Linked DNA regions of Mus musculus. The protein of the gene in region 2 interacts with the protein of the main gene of each other region in a pairwise test. Links are inferred from orthologs where the notes say so. Each region holds a gene or a part of one and is shown on either strand. Other genes may lie near its edges.

Region 1 (4,792 bases), about 38 Mb from region 2:
GTTTATGAGTGGTTAGAATCTTTGGTGGTACGGTATTTGAAACACTTTCATTCTATGTTCAGCTCCTTAAGGAATAACACCTTCCTCGGCTATGCTGAGCCCGAAACACTAACTAATTGCTCATTTTAGAAAACTTAAAGTAAACCTATTTTTAAAAAAAATAAAAAAATAAAAATAAAATTCAAGTAAACTTCTGAACCCCAAAGGATTTGTTAGACCAGCTGACGCGTCTATGAGGATTGACTGAGAAAACACTGCCATCTGGTGGTCAAACTTAAGAACTTGCTCTTTAGCAGCTAGTTCCCAGCAGAAAGACTGTTTTGTTTTTCAATTTTTTTTTCTTTTATTGGATATTTTCTTTATTTACATTTCAAATGTTATCCCCTTTCCAGGTCTCTCCCCCATCCCATCCCTCCTCCCCTGCCTCTATGAGGGTGCTCCCCCACCTACCCACTCACTCCCGCTTTCCAGTCCTGGCATTCCCCTACACTGGGGCATCAAACTCCCACAGGACCAAGGGCTGCTCTTCCCACTGATGTCCAAAAATAGAGGCCTTCCCCCACTGATGAGTATCATGTACTACAGGTGAGATCATATTTAAGGAGCTAGCCATGGTGACACATGCCTACAATCCTGGCAGCAGCAGGGCTGAAGCAGGAGAATCATGAGTTGAAGGCTAACCTGGACTACATAACAAAACTCAAAAGCCAAAGAAACGCTGGGAATAGTAATATGGGCCTCTAATCCCAGGACTTGGGAAATGGAAACAGAAGAAACAGAAGTTCCCAGTTATACACAGTGTGTCCCAGGCCAGGCTGATCCGGGGTCTTTTGGAAGAGCAGACAATGCTCTTAGCTACTAAAATAGTTCTCCAGCCCTCAAGTGGCTGGAGGAAGTTGGGGAAGCCCTCAATTGTAATTCACTGAAGTAAAATGGCATCATGTGGCAAGCACTGGAGACAGCACCACTCCAGATTGTATGTCCCTAACGGACTCCACAGATCCCACCACCATCCTACAAAGGTGTGTTCTGACTACTCAACAGGTCAGTATCACAAAGCATACAAAAACAGAGCTTGGCTGTTCCAGAGCACACCATCACTAGATATGAAGCTGGCATACACATAGCTAAAAGACCATAGGAAGTGGGGTCCTACCTCTGTACTAGGTGGGGTCTATAGGACTGAGCCAGACGGGAGTCTTATAACATGAGCAAGATCTTAAAAGGTTAGGAGGCAGAAGAAGGTAGACGCATTTTCAAAAAGGGGAAAAAAGCAAGACAAAGGAACCATGAGTGGAGACCAAAAAGTTTGCTTTGAACTCTGAGATGCCCCATCAAAATCACAGGAAAAAAAAAAAAACTAAAATAGACTAAGCAGGCAGGAGGGAAGACTGACCAACATGAGAGTCAGACCCAAGGCACGTGACAGAACCGTAAAGTAGACACAGGAGGGGGAGGCAAGGAAGGCATGCCAGAAAGACTTTATATCCAGTGGAAGGAGCAACTTTGCAGGGTGGGGGAAAAAGAGAATCTGAGGACATCAGATAGGAATGGAGGTGTCATCTGACTCTACGTTCCTCACCCCTGATGAGTCCCCGTCTTCCTAGACTACATACTGTGCAAAGATGGGACTCAAAGACTTCAACCCCACTCTTCTGAGAGCAGAGATGGAGCCAGGAGTGATGCAAAAGGCCCCACAAGGAAGCAAAGTCTTAGAAAAAAAAAACAAACTGAATGTTCGGTAGTATGAAAAATTAGCCCTGGACACTGGCTGGTCCCACCTGACAAACCTCGAAAACAAGAGCCACACTTGTAGGTAGCAGAGCTCAGAATTCTGGGAAATGGCAGTATCTATCTGGAGTCTGCTGATGGGACTGTCCTTAGAGATTGCTCATGAACAGCTGGAGCAATGACACCTATTTTAAAGTTCCCAGTCCACTCTAATGAGCACTGATTCCTGAGAATTCAAAGTCTTCTGTTTTCAGAGTGTCCTCTTAACCTATTCTCCCAAATACAATAATTTTGTTATTTCATGTAACATATGTAGCTGTAAAATCCTTTGCAGATCTTAGGGTATTAACAGAATAGATAGAATCCATGTGCATAGACATACACCCTATCCCTTCACTTGTAATAGTCCTGTGAGGAGAGTATTCCTAGGGAAATTTGAATGGGGAGACGTTCGGTTCCTAGCCCAGATCCCACATTTAGTGACAACCCCAGAGGGCTAGTCCCCGAGGCCACTCCTTTCACTTGGTCTTAGCCAGAAGCCTGGGAAGCAAGTTTATGTACTGCCCCTTCTGCTATCCCCTGGCTGGCACAGCCCTGCAGTTCCCTAGCTGTCCTGGCAAAGCAGCCAGAAGGACCATCTCAGAGACCGCAGCCCAACGTTCCTCTCCAAAACCCTGCCTTCACTGTGCTTTGCACCATCATGGCCCTGAAGACAAGGGGCAGAAAGGCATCCTGCCCAAAAACTACAGCGAACTCGCCCCTGGATTAGCTATTTATTTCAACACTGCAACAGTTGGTGCCCGTGCACTATGGCTCCCAAAGTACCAATTTCTGTAAGTGAGAAACTCACCCACACAAAAGAACTATTGTTCTAACAATTGCAACAGAAGAAACAAGACCGGCCCCAGCCTGTCCAGGGTTTCCATCATGTCTTAACAGCATGTAGACAAGGCTGGGCCCAGCCCACTCTCAAAGTGCCTGAATCTCTACCCTGCAGAAAACACACACGCGCACACACACACACACACACACACACACACACACACACTACCTGATCAGCGCTGATTCGACATGTGTGCATCAAATATTAGTCAACAATGTTGCAGTTTAAAACCCGAATCCAGTGCGATGCTGCCTAGCGAAGCAGCGGGATGAAGAAGACACATCCTGTCTTCGTTCCAGGAAAGGGGCTTGGCACCCTAGGGAGTGTGAAAATCAGGCTCCCCTCCCCAGATTGCCCTTGGGAGGACTACCTTACCCGCAGGAGCACAGGTTGCAGATGCAAGTCCTCTTCCCCATCCTTCACCTCGGACTTTCCACTAAGGCAATCGCCTAGAGGATCCCAGCTGCCTGGGACAACGATCACACTTCTTCGGTGCCTTGACCGATGCTGTTTTGCTCAGAAGGAAACTTAGGTGGCCCTTTTGCAAAATTCTGTAGTCTATTCCTTTCCTGAGGCTGGCCTTGGGCAAACAGGCAGCACTTAGCACAGACAGCAAGCCAGGCCGGCTCACGTCTGTAAGCTGCTGCCACTGCGGCCAGTGGGAAGCACCCACCTGCCAGCACAGCCTGGCCCCTGCAAGCCACAGGGCCCAGGACTGAGTCCTCTATGACCTTCAAAGTCACAGAGGAGGGCATCTTGAGGTGGCAATGACATCATAAGGGCCTCCTGTGAGGTCAGACTTCACCTAGTATCTCACCTGGCAGACCCAAGACAGGGACTCTCCCACTGGAACTTGGAAGGAAGATGGAAGATACCTTGGAGGGCTTTAGGAAGCCTCCGAGTCCCAGAGTTAACCAACAGCACGGTCACATAATGCAAAGACAATGAAAAGTATCTTGTCGGGTGGCACTTTCCATCCCTAGGACACATTGTCCGTCTGGAGGAAATGCATGCCCGGACCTCCAGAATATTGACCCTGAATTCCATCTCCAGATCTTCCTGGAAAATCTATACCTGGCTGCCTGCATCTTGGAATTGCTTTCAACCACAGGCCTCTGCTTTTGAGAACAAAGCAGCATGAGAGGGTCCAGCCCTCTATTGCTCAGGTAATGACGCCTAGAAGCAGGGACGTCTCAAATGTTAGCAGCATCAGAACCTCAAGGCTTGACAAAAATCAGATTGCCAGACCCCACCCTGAGTTTGTTGTTTCTGAAATATGGGTTCCAGAAAACACGTGTCTCTTACAAGTTTTTAATGATGCTACTGATGCTGGCCCAGAGCCCACACTTCAAGGAGCGCAGCTATGGAGCTTCTATTGTGGCCTCTGACCTCTCTTCCCTAATATCTAAGCCGGTCCTGAAAACCACTGCAGACCTCTGCCCTGGAATCTCCTGTATCAAATAACCACCAGTCAGAGCACATGATGGCTTCAGCCTGTGATCCCGGCACAGACTGAGGCAGGAGGGTTGCTGCAAGGTCAAGGCCAGCCTGGGCTACAAAGTGAGACTTCACTCTATTTCAAAGCAGTGAAAACAACTATTCTGGGAATTGTGTTTTCACAAGATAGCAGCTTACTCTGACAATAAAACAAAGTCAAGGGCCTCTGCTCTCGAGCTGGGTGTGGCAGCACAAGTCTAGAATTCCAGCATCTGGGGCAAGGAGGCAAGTTCTGGGCTACATGGCTCTCCCTTTCTCAAAAGCAAGCAAAAGAAGTGCGGTAGCATACCATACAGTCTACTACTATAGGAGAATGTTTGGACTTAAACATTACTGTTTCTTTTTGTTGCTTTTATTTATTTTATTTTATTTTATTTTATTTTACATTTGCTTATCGCAGGTTCTGGGTAAAGAGAGCCATGTGGGCCAAGACTCATGTGGAGATCAGAAGACAACCTGGAGAAGTTGGTTTCCTCTTTCTACCATGTGGACCAGAGAGCTGGAATTGATGTTATCAGTGTGAGCTTCGAGTGTCTGAAGAGTCATGGATTGCAGCAGTGCTGAGCTGCTGTGTGCTCTGAGTTCTTTCTTCCATCGCAGACTAAAAACCGAAGTCAGCAAACCACTGCCAGCTGCTGGAATTCCACTGGTACCTGGTTGATAGGGCCCATACAGGAATAC
Region 2 (3,361 bases):
ACGGGCCCCCTTTCTCCCTCCACCCCTGCGTCTCCGCCTCCAGAGACTGCCTCAGCCACCCAGGCGCATACCTGCCGCCTCAGTTCAACCGCAGAGCCAGCGGCCAGGCTAGGGCGTCCAGCAGGGGAGTGCTCCGCCCCATCGCCCCACTTCAGGGGACAGCCCTCCGGCTCACTCCCGCCCCCGCCAGTGAATCACGAGAGGCGGGGCCATGACCCATTCATGCTGGGAATCGGATCCAGATGTTCTCCCGGCGCGTGCAGCTGCTTCCTTGCCTTTTTTGGCAAAAAAACGTGCGGCCGCGAGCGGATCCTGAGCCGCCCCCACTAATCCTTGGGAAGAGGGGGGAAGGGGTGAGGGTCTGGGCCCAACTGGGTATCAGAACTCGGTGCTTGTACGTCGGGTTGAGGCAGGGCTGGTGGGGGTGGGGGAAGATGTGTACCAGACCTAGAAACCCACTGCCTCTCGGCTCTGTCTGGCACCTCTCCCAATCCCTCCCTTGCTCACAGAGGAAAAAGTCCTCCGCCAGCAGTGGGGAGGTTGGCCAAGCTCAAGAGGGACCCGCGTGGCTGCCAGAGGGGATCCTCTTCCTGGGGAGAATCCCCACCCCACGGCCCGCCCACTAGGAGGTTTCAAAAGCCTGACTCAGCCACGCAACCTTCCTTCATCCTCTCGACAAATACACGGGGCCCGTGCTCCCCTCACACTGCTTTATTGCAATCTCTGGAAACAGGGCGAGCAACCTTCCTGCTTCCTGTTGCAGGGCAACATGGAGCTGAAATAACATGGTACTCAGAGGCTGGACAGCACCCTGTACCTTACAACCCTCTAACCAGGGAGCCCCTAATCTGCTATACATACAGCTGCAGCTCAGAGAGAGCAGTGGGATGGGGGTGAGGTCAAACCGGGTGTACAATCTATTTTTGAAGACTTCTTAGGCACCTGCAGAAAAACTAAAAAAAAAAAAAAAAAAAAAAAAAAAAAAAAAAAAAATCTACCCTAGAAGTCTTGACTTAAAGAGGCCTAGGCCTCAGAGTTCAGGTTTGGAGGGCTGGGGTGTCAGAGCCTTGATGTGGGGAACATTTCTGGAATCCAGACTTGGAGAAAGGCTTAAGTCATGGGTGTTCCACAACAGCCCAGATTTGGGGGCCTGGGTCGGGGAGTACCACTGGGGTGTGTTAAAATTGGGTGACTGAATCCTGAAGTCCCAATGAGTGGGGAGCGGGGGTTGGGGGAGGGCCCGTTCTAGGGAGGGGTTGGGCCCCAGAAGTGGTTCAGAAAAGGCGCCAAAGTCTTGAACTCTTGGTTTGGGAAAGAGGAGAGTCAGGATCCTCCACTCAGGGGCCTGCTTGGCTGCAGCCCTGGCATAGAACTTGATCTCCGTCTGGTACAAAGCCTTGGCCCACCAGGGAGGTGGAGCAGCGGGCACAGGAAAAGCAGCTGTGGTGCCAATGTCGGTCTTCGAAGGACACATACTTGCCTCCACCGAGTCCTGGAGGAAGGCTGGAGGTTAGCTCTGCAGGTCTGGGGGCCACTGCTGCCCCTTAACCTCACCCGTGTTACATCCGAACTCTTACCTGCGCCCTCGCCGCCGCCGCTCCCACCTGTGATGGGGCGCTTGCAGCTGCTGCACTTGGGTGCAAAGAGTTCTCCAAAGCAGGCCACACAGTAAGGATCATCATCCCGAGATGTGAACTGCTGCCCTGCAAGGGGCGTCTTGCACCCAGTGCAGACCAGGCACTCTCGGTGCCAGGGCTGATCACGATATGTCACTCCACCCTGGGTCAGCGTCTGTGGGGACATCATCCATCAGCAGGGGCAGGGCGGGGTGAGGACTCCCACCCACAACAGGTCTTACCCTGAATTCCCAGGCCCAGCCCCAACCTTGCTGCAGCGGGCACACCGAGGAGCAAATTTGTTCTCATAGCAAGGCACGCAGTAGTGGGCACCCTTGTCAGGCACGAAGGAGCGGGAGCCCAGCGGCTGCTCACAGCCACTGCACAGAAAGCAGTGTTCATGCCACGTCTGGCCTCCATACTCCAGCTTCCGGGACCCTGTGGGGAACAGGAATCCCACTTAGACTCTGGCCCAAACTCGAGAGGGCCACTCTGCCAAGTAGAGTTGTAGCCATGGACACCAAGCAAGACTACTACCATGAGCCGGGCAGTGGTGGCGCATGCCTTTAATCCCAGCACTCTGGAGGCAAAGGCAAGCGGATTTCTGAGTTCGAGGCCAGCCTGGTCTACAGAGTGAGCTCCAGGACAGCCAGGGCTCCCTGTCTCAAAAAACCAAACCAAAATACATACATACACACTTACTACTACCATGTATGTTACATACGCCAACCTCTCCCCTCAAACTTGCAAGATGGTACAGCACATGCTAAGCACACATGTTAAAACTCCATGTCTTTGACACTACTATTTTTTTTTTTTTTTTTTCCGAGACAGGGTTTCTCTGTATAGCTCTGGCTGTCCTGGAACTCACTCTATAGACCAGGCTGGTCTTGAACTCTGACAATACTATCTTAACATATGCCAAGCCTCTGTGTTGTTCCAGTACATGTTAAATAAGCCATTAAGTACCAGAACTACCAGTATAACACTCACGCAAGATCCCACTAACCAGGCAACCGCCTACACAAAGCCTAATGCCCTGGGTATGACATGTTCAGTACACACTAAGCCTTTGCATATTCTAGGTCTATCATTCTACACATGCTAAATCCCCACATGCATTAAGGTCACCATACATTTGAAGCCTATAGTTTAATCTCTGCCCCCAAAATGTCAATGCGGCAAGCCGGAGAATCTCAGTACACCAAACATGTGGGTCTACACACACACACACACACACACACACACACACACACACACACACACGCTAACGCCCATGTGTAGCAAGCATGCCAACCGCTATGCATCTGTTGAGTCCTTATGTGTTCACTAGGCCTACTGGTCCGATACACCAGCCGCTATGCATCTGTTGAGTCCTTATGTGTTCACTAGGCCTACTGGTCCAATACACCTTTGGTACTTGCCAAGCTTTCCTATGTAGAGCTGAGTGTGCCAATCCCTGTGGTGCCTTAAGCTCTCAAGAGCACACATGCACAACAGTTCCACACACGTTCCAGGAACATACAGCGTGTGGAGGTCTCTACCCACATCAACCCCGCCCCCCCCCCCCATGCATGCATGAGACAGGCAGACGAAAAGACCTGACTCAGCAATTCCCAAGCCCGGGACGTACCAGGCATGACAGTCTCCCCGCAGGCAGAACACTGGGACGAGAAGGCTGTGCAGTAACACTCATTACACAGAAGCTCACTGTCCTGACAGGTGAAGGGCTCATCGGCAAGGGA
Region 3 (4,828 bases), on a different chromosome or scaffold from region 2:
CATGAAAAGGTTGCCCTAGGAAAGACAAGAAAGGGGGAGGGGGCAGAGAGCAACTCACATGGGCTCCCGGGTGCCATCTAAACTGACGCTGAGTGCCAAGGATGTTGCCAGCGTGAACGTAGTGACCTGAAAGAGAAGTCCACAGTGAGCCGACTCTGTGCCAGTGTTCACAGAAGCCCAGCAAAATGCTGACAAGTCATGGCAGCCCAAGGGTCCCCATCAAACCCCAAGCCTGCTCCTGGATAGACCACTAAGATGGCCCTACATAAACAGCACCTGACCCCAATCCAGCAGACTCTTTTTTGACTGCATGGCTAAGAAACTGCAACTCCCTGGGGTCCCTGCTCCTCCCATGTGGAGATGAGTGCCACAGTGAACTGCAGAGAGACAGGAGAGTGAGGCCCCTGAGTAGCATTTCTGCTCTTCTGAGAAAGGGCAGGGCAGCACTGTGGGCTGTGGCTTGAAAACAGTAAGGAAGGCACGCCCTCACCTTCCATTTTCTTGATGCCGTAGTGTTTGCCTCGTGATTTCCCACCAAGGTTCTTAGAGCTGCCACCTGTCTTCTTGGATGCATGTCTGACAGCGAGTGCTGTGGGTGCTGTGGGGCTCAGCAGGGCTGTCACTGCAGAGAAAGCGAAACCCTGCTCAGAGAGGCTCCCGAATGCAGTGCGCTTTCTTGTCTCTGTGGACCATTTGCCAAGCTGAGAAGCAGCGAGGGAGATGAGGAAAAATGAGAGATGTGTGAAAGGAACAGAGATGCTAAGTGTGTGGTGTTCAGGGAATGCCTGGGCAGGGAGCAATTCATCCCTGGAATTGGCCCAGAGGTAACCATGGTATGGCGGGTGGGTGGTGGTGGTGGTGGTCTGTGTATTAGGGAGAGCAGGCAGTGAGCATCACGGGGGGGGGGGGGGGGAGAGAACAGTCTATGCTCTGGCTCCTGACACATCCAGTCCAGCTGAGCAGAAACAAACAGCACAGAAACAGATGAAATGGACACCAGACAGCTGCCTGCTTAGAAGATTCAGTTTCCTGGCCAAGGGAAGGGCAGCGTACAAGATGTGCAAGGCTTGCCTCTGATTCCGCCTCCCTTACCACTGCCTTAGCTATCCACTCACCCATGCACATCAGACACTTGCCACTGTCTTAGCTATCCACTCACCCACTACACATCAGACACTTGCACCAGAAGGGCAGCCCGTCCGTCAGAGGGTGGCTCCCGCAGGCAACTGGCCATTACAGAAAGGTCTTTTTTTCCCAGAGTCCATAAGCAGATGTCCAACCAAGACTGGCATTAATCTGGGCCTCTCCACCCATTATCCCAAAGGACTCAACACCATTTTCTTTAAAGGGGGAAATTATGAGGGAGGCGTTGAAGGGGATAGAGATGATCAAAATACATTGTATGCATGAACAAAATTCTCAAAGATTAAATGAAAATGCTTTTAAAAGAAGATTATCTAAAATGCATGCTAATGGGGCCAGAGAGAGATGGCTCAGAGGTTAGCAGCAGCGACTGCTCTTGCAGAGGTCCTCTGTTCAGTTTCTAGCACTTTTGTAGTGGTCCACAGTCATCTGTAACTCCTGTTTCAGGGGATCCAATGGCCTTTTCTTACCTCTGCTGGTACCAAGTATACCGTGTGGTATGCATATATACACATAGGCAAAACATTCATACACAAAAATAAAATCCAGGCTGTCTGTTTTAGGTCTCTAGGCATAGTATAGGATCTTAGGATCTAGTATCAGCCCATTTAGAGTTGCTTTATGGGTGTTTGGGGGCATAGCACTGGTTATCTAGGTTTCTCAAATTCCCATAAGAACAGAAAGTTGCTGGGATACAAGACTAGCTCTCAGAGAGCAGGCTGGGCATGGTGGCACAGGCAAGCTTTTGATGCTAGCACTTGGGAGGCAGAGGCAGGCAGATCTCTGTGACAACAGGACCAGTTTGGTCTAGAGACTGAGTTCTAGGACAGCCAGGGCTTCATAGTGATACAGTGTCTCCAAACAAACAAACATCACAAAAAAAGAACTTAGGAGACATCTTCAATGTCCAGCAATGGAATGGAATCCCCTCCCCCCTCTCCTGTAGCCCATGAAGACCTTGAACTTGCAATCCTCAGGCCTTTACTTCACATATAACCGAGGTTACAGGCATGCACTTCCTGGCTTCACCCACTCACTTACTGGTGATTGGTGTTTTGCTTTTGCCTACATTGTTTCACTCATATGTCTCTGCTCTTGTGAAAAACAAGACTTTACAGATGACTCTCTTCCCTCATTTTACAGAGCAGTAAGACTTGTGGAATCTATATCTTCAGAACAGACAGATGTCATATTCACCCACTACCCTCCAGCTTCTCTACCAACACCACTAATATCTGGGCCAAATGATCTATCCTATAGCAAGTCTTGCAGATGGTTTTCTGTGTAGGTTATTTTATTTTATTTTATTTTATGTTATTTTATTTATTTATAGCTTTTGAGTCTGTGACCCAGGCTGGCCTTGGATCTGATGAAATCTTCCTGCCCCAGGCTCCTAAGTGCAGGGATTATAGGCACTACTATTCCTGGTCCCACTTGGTTTCATTTTCATTTATTTATTTGCACCCAGTCTGCCTCCTCTTAATTGGCTCCTCAAAACTGTAAAACCGAGTCAAGTCATTTTCTTGCCTTCTGTCTACACAGGTTTGGTTGGGTCTGTCTCTTTTAGGTCTAAATTGCTATCCCTTCAAGAGACTTCCTTGGTCCCCTAATCTAAGACTCTTCACAATACTATTCGAGATTACAACTAAGTTACTCACGTGTTTACTGGCTGAACTCACAAGGCGTTAGAAACCATGTTTATGCTGGTACTCTGAGCAGTGTCTCACCAGACCTAAGCGTTGGTCATGGTCATAGACATCTGAAATACCAGCTCTAAGACGGCAAACTACACAGTGGGAACCTACCTCAAAAGCGAGGAAAGGAAAAAAGCTAAGTCTTGAATATCAATTAAATGTTTTGAACTTAGTCTTCTTCAAATCCGGAGGGATCCACATAAACCCAGAGGGGACAGAGCTTCTGGAGTAACTATCCAACGGGCTTTCATTCTGCACTCCCACCCTCCGCAAGCACCGCCCACAACGTGTCACGTGACCGGAGACAGTCGCCCTCCAAAGGTCCGGAGCCCCTCACTTCTTCCCCGTATCTAGGTTCACCATGGGCTCCAGTTTCCATCTCCCAGCCTCCCTGCTGTCTCGCCTCGCAATAGCCACAGTGCTGAGCTACCTGCTGCCCGCGTCCTCAGCGTAAGCGCCGCCGCCGCCATATTTGCTTCACGTTCACTTCCAGGCTGGGAAGTCTGCTTCCGCTACCGGGATAGATCTACTTCCGGGTCTTGCGGACAATTCAAAGAGTGGCGGGAGCAGTAGCAGGTGAGCCCAGATCTCTTGGGGTTTATGGCCGGGACCTCCGGCGACTTCTGCAGTGGACCGTGGGCCCCAGAGACAAGGAGTGTGGCCAGCACGGACGTTTGTCCCACTCCAGGAACCACACGAAGGTCCCTAGGGAGGGACCAGGGTGAGGCTCAGCTAGATTCTGTGCTAGACTGGTTGTAGATGCACAATTTCATTTAATTCCTTACAAACCTAAGTTACTGGTATTATGTTAAATTGAGATCCAGGAAGACTGCAAAGATTATCAGTCACTAATTATTGTTGAAAGAATGATTCTTGCGTGTAACCCAGCAGTTCCAGGCAGACTTAAGTGTACGCACAAGAGAACTGTGAAAACATACTCGTTCAAAATATTTGTACGTGAATGTCTGTAGCAACATTATCCGTAACAGCCAAGAAAGGGGAGCAGGCTAACCGTCCATCAAGCAATAAATGCGTAAACAAAATGTGACATAGCCACACAGTGGAATATTATTCAGCTATAAAAAATGAGGCAGTACTGGTGCATAGTATGGCCACAGAAGGACCCTGAAAGCATGACTGCGAAAGACACCAGTCACCAAAGGCACATACGGTGTGCTTTTATGAAATATACAGAACCTGTAAATCCATAGAGACAATGGATCTTATTTTATTTTTAGATGCTGGGAGAGAGAAAGAACTTGTTTTTTTGTGTGTGGGGGCTTTTTTTTTTTTTCTTAATTTTTAAATAAATAAATAAATGCCAGGTGGTGGTGGCGCATGCCTTTAATCCCAGCACTTGGGAGGCAGAGGCAGGCGGATTTCTGAGTTCTCAGCCAGTCTGGTCTACAAAGTGAGTTCCAGGACAGCCAGGGCTATCTATACAGAGAAACCCTGTCTCAGAAAAAAAAAAAAAAAAAAAATGGTTATAGAAATACCCTTGCTTTTGAGAAGTCTCACTGTATCAAGTAGGCTGGCCTTGAACTCAAAATATCCCCCTCTGTAGCCTCCCAATAGGTGGGATTGCAGTTGTGTGCCAGCATGCCCAGTTTGTAGGATTTCTCTTTGTGATGATGGAGACATTCGGGAGTAAGAGGAGGGTAATGCTGACACAGCACAGACATACGGAGCCCCATCAGTCTGAGTGAATGATTTCTTTATCTGTTAACTGTACTAAGGCTGGGGCCTAACGTTCATGTAGGGCTCTCTATGTGCTAAGCAAGCACTCTACCGCTGCTACTCCAACACCTAAAGGATAGTTTTGAGTACTATACACTATGTGAATTGTAAGGGGAGTTTTTTCCTGTGTGTGGACATGAGCGTACATGGGTGTGTGCATAGGCATGCTTTCCACTGTGTGTAGGTTCTAGGAACTGAAATCCAACTAGGTGACATATGTTTTTGCTCACCGAGCCATCTGATTTACTTGCTTT

Evidence for each region.
Region 1: the proteins of Fhl3 (region 2) and Saxo1 interact in binary tests that used the Homo sapiens proteins (3 or more experiments, as listed by UniProt). The two-hybrid records come from large-scale screens. The link is inferred for Mus musculus from reciprocal best matches to the Homo sapiens genes FHL3 and SAXO1.
Region 3: the proteins of Fhl3 (region 2) and Mrpl27 interact in binary tests that used the Homo sapiens proteins (3 or more experiments, as listed by UniProt). The two-hybrid records come from large-scale screens. The link is inferred for Mus musculus from reciprocal best matches to the Homo sapiens genes FHL3 and MRPL27.

The regions. Positions count from the first base shown.
Region 1 is NC_000070.6:86,554,986-86,559,777, forward strand, and holds the start of Saxo1 (stabilizer of axonemal microtubules 1), read right to left. Parts: upstream 3,319-4,792; 5' UTR 3,031-3,318; coding exon 2,990-3,030; intron 1-2,989. UniProt on the Homo sapiens protein: May play a role in the regulation of cilium length. Stabilizes microtubules at low temperature.
Region 2 is NC_000070.6:124,705,947-124,709,307, reverse strand, and holds the end of Fhl3 (four and a half LIM domains protein 3), read right to left. Parts: coding exon 3,250-3,361; intron 2,055-3,249; coding exon 1,885-2,054; coding exon of another isoform or gene 1,859-1,884; intron 1,792-1,858; coding exon 1,578-1,791; intron 1,493-1,577; coding exon 1,338-1,492; 3' UTR 697-1,337; downstream 1-696. UniProt on the Homo sapiens protein: Recruited by SOX15 to FOXK1 promoters where it acts as a transcriptional coactivator of FOXK1.
Region 3 is NC_000077.6:94,652,281-94,657,108, reverse strand, and holds the start of Mrpl27 (39S ribosomal protein L27, mitochondrial), read right to left. Parts: upstream 3,319-4,828; 5' UTR 3,308-3,318; coding exon 3,268-3,307; intron 623-3,267; coding exon 491-622; intron 127-490; coding exon 59-126; intron 1-58.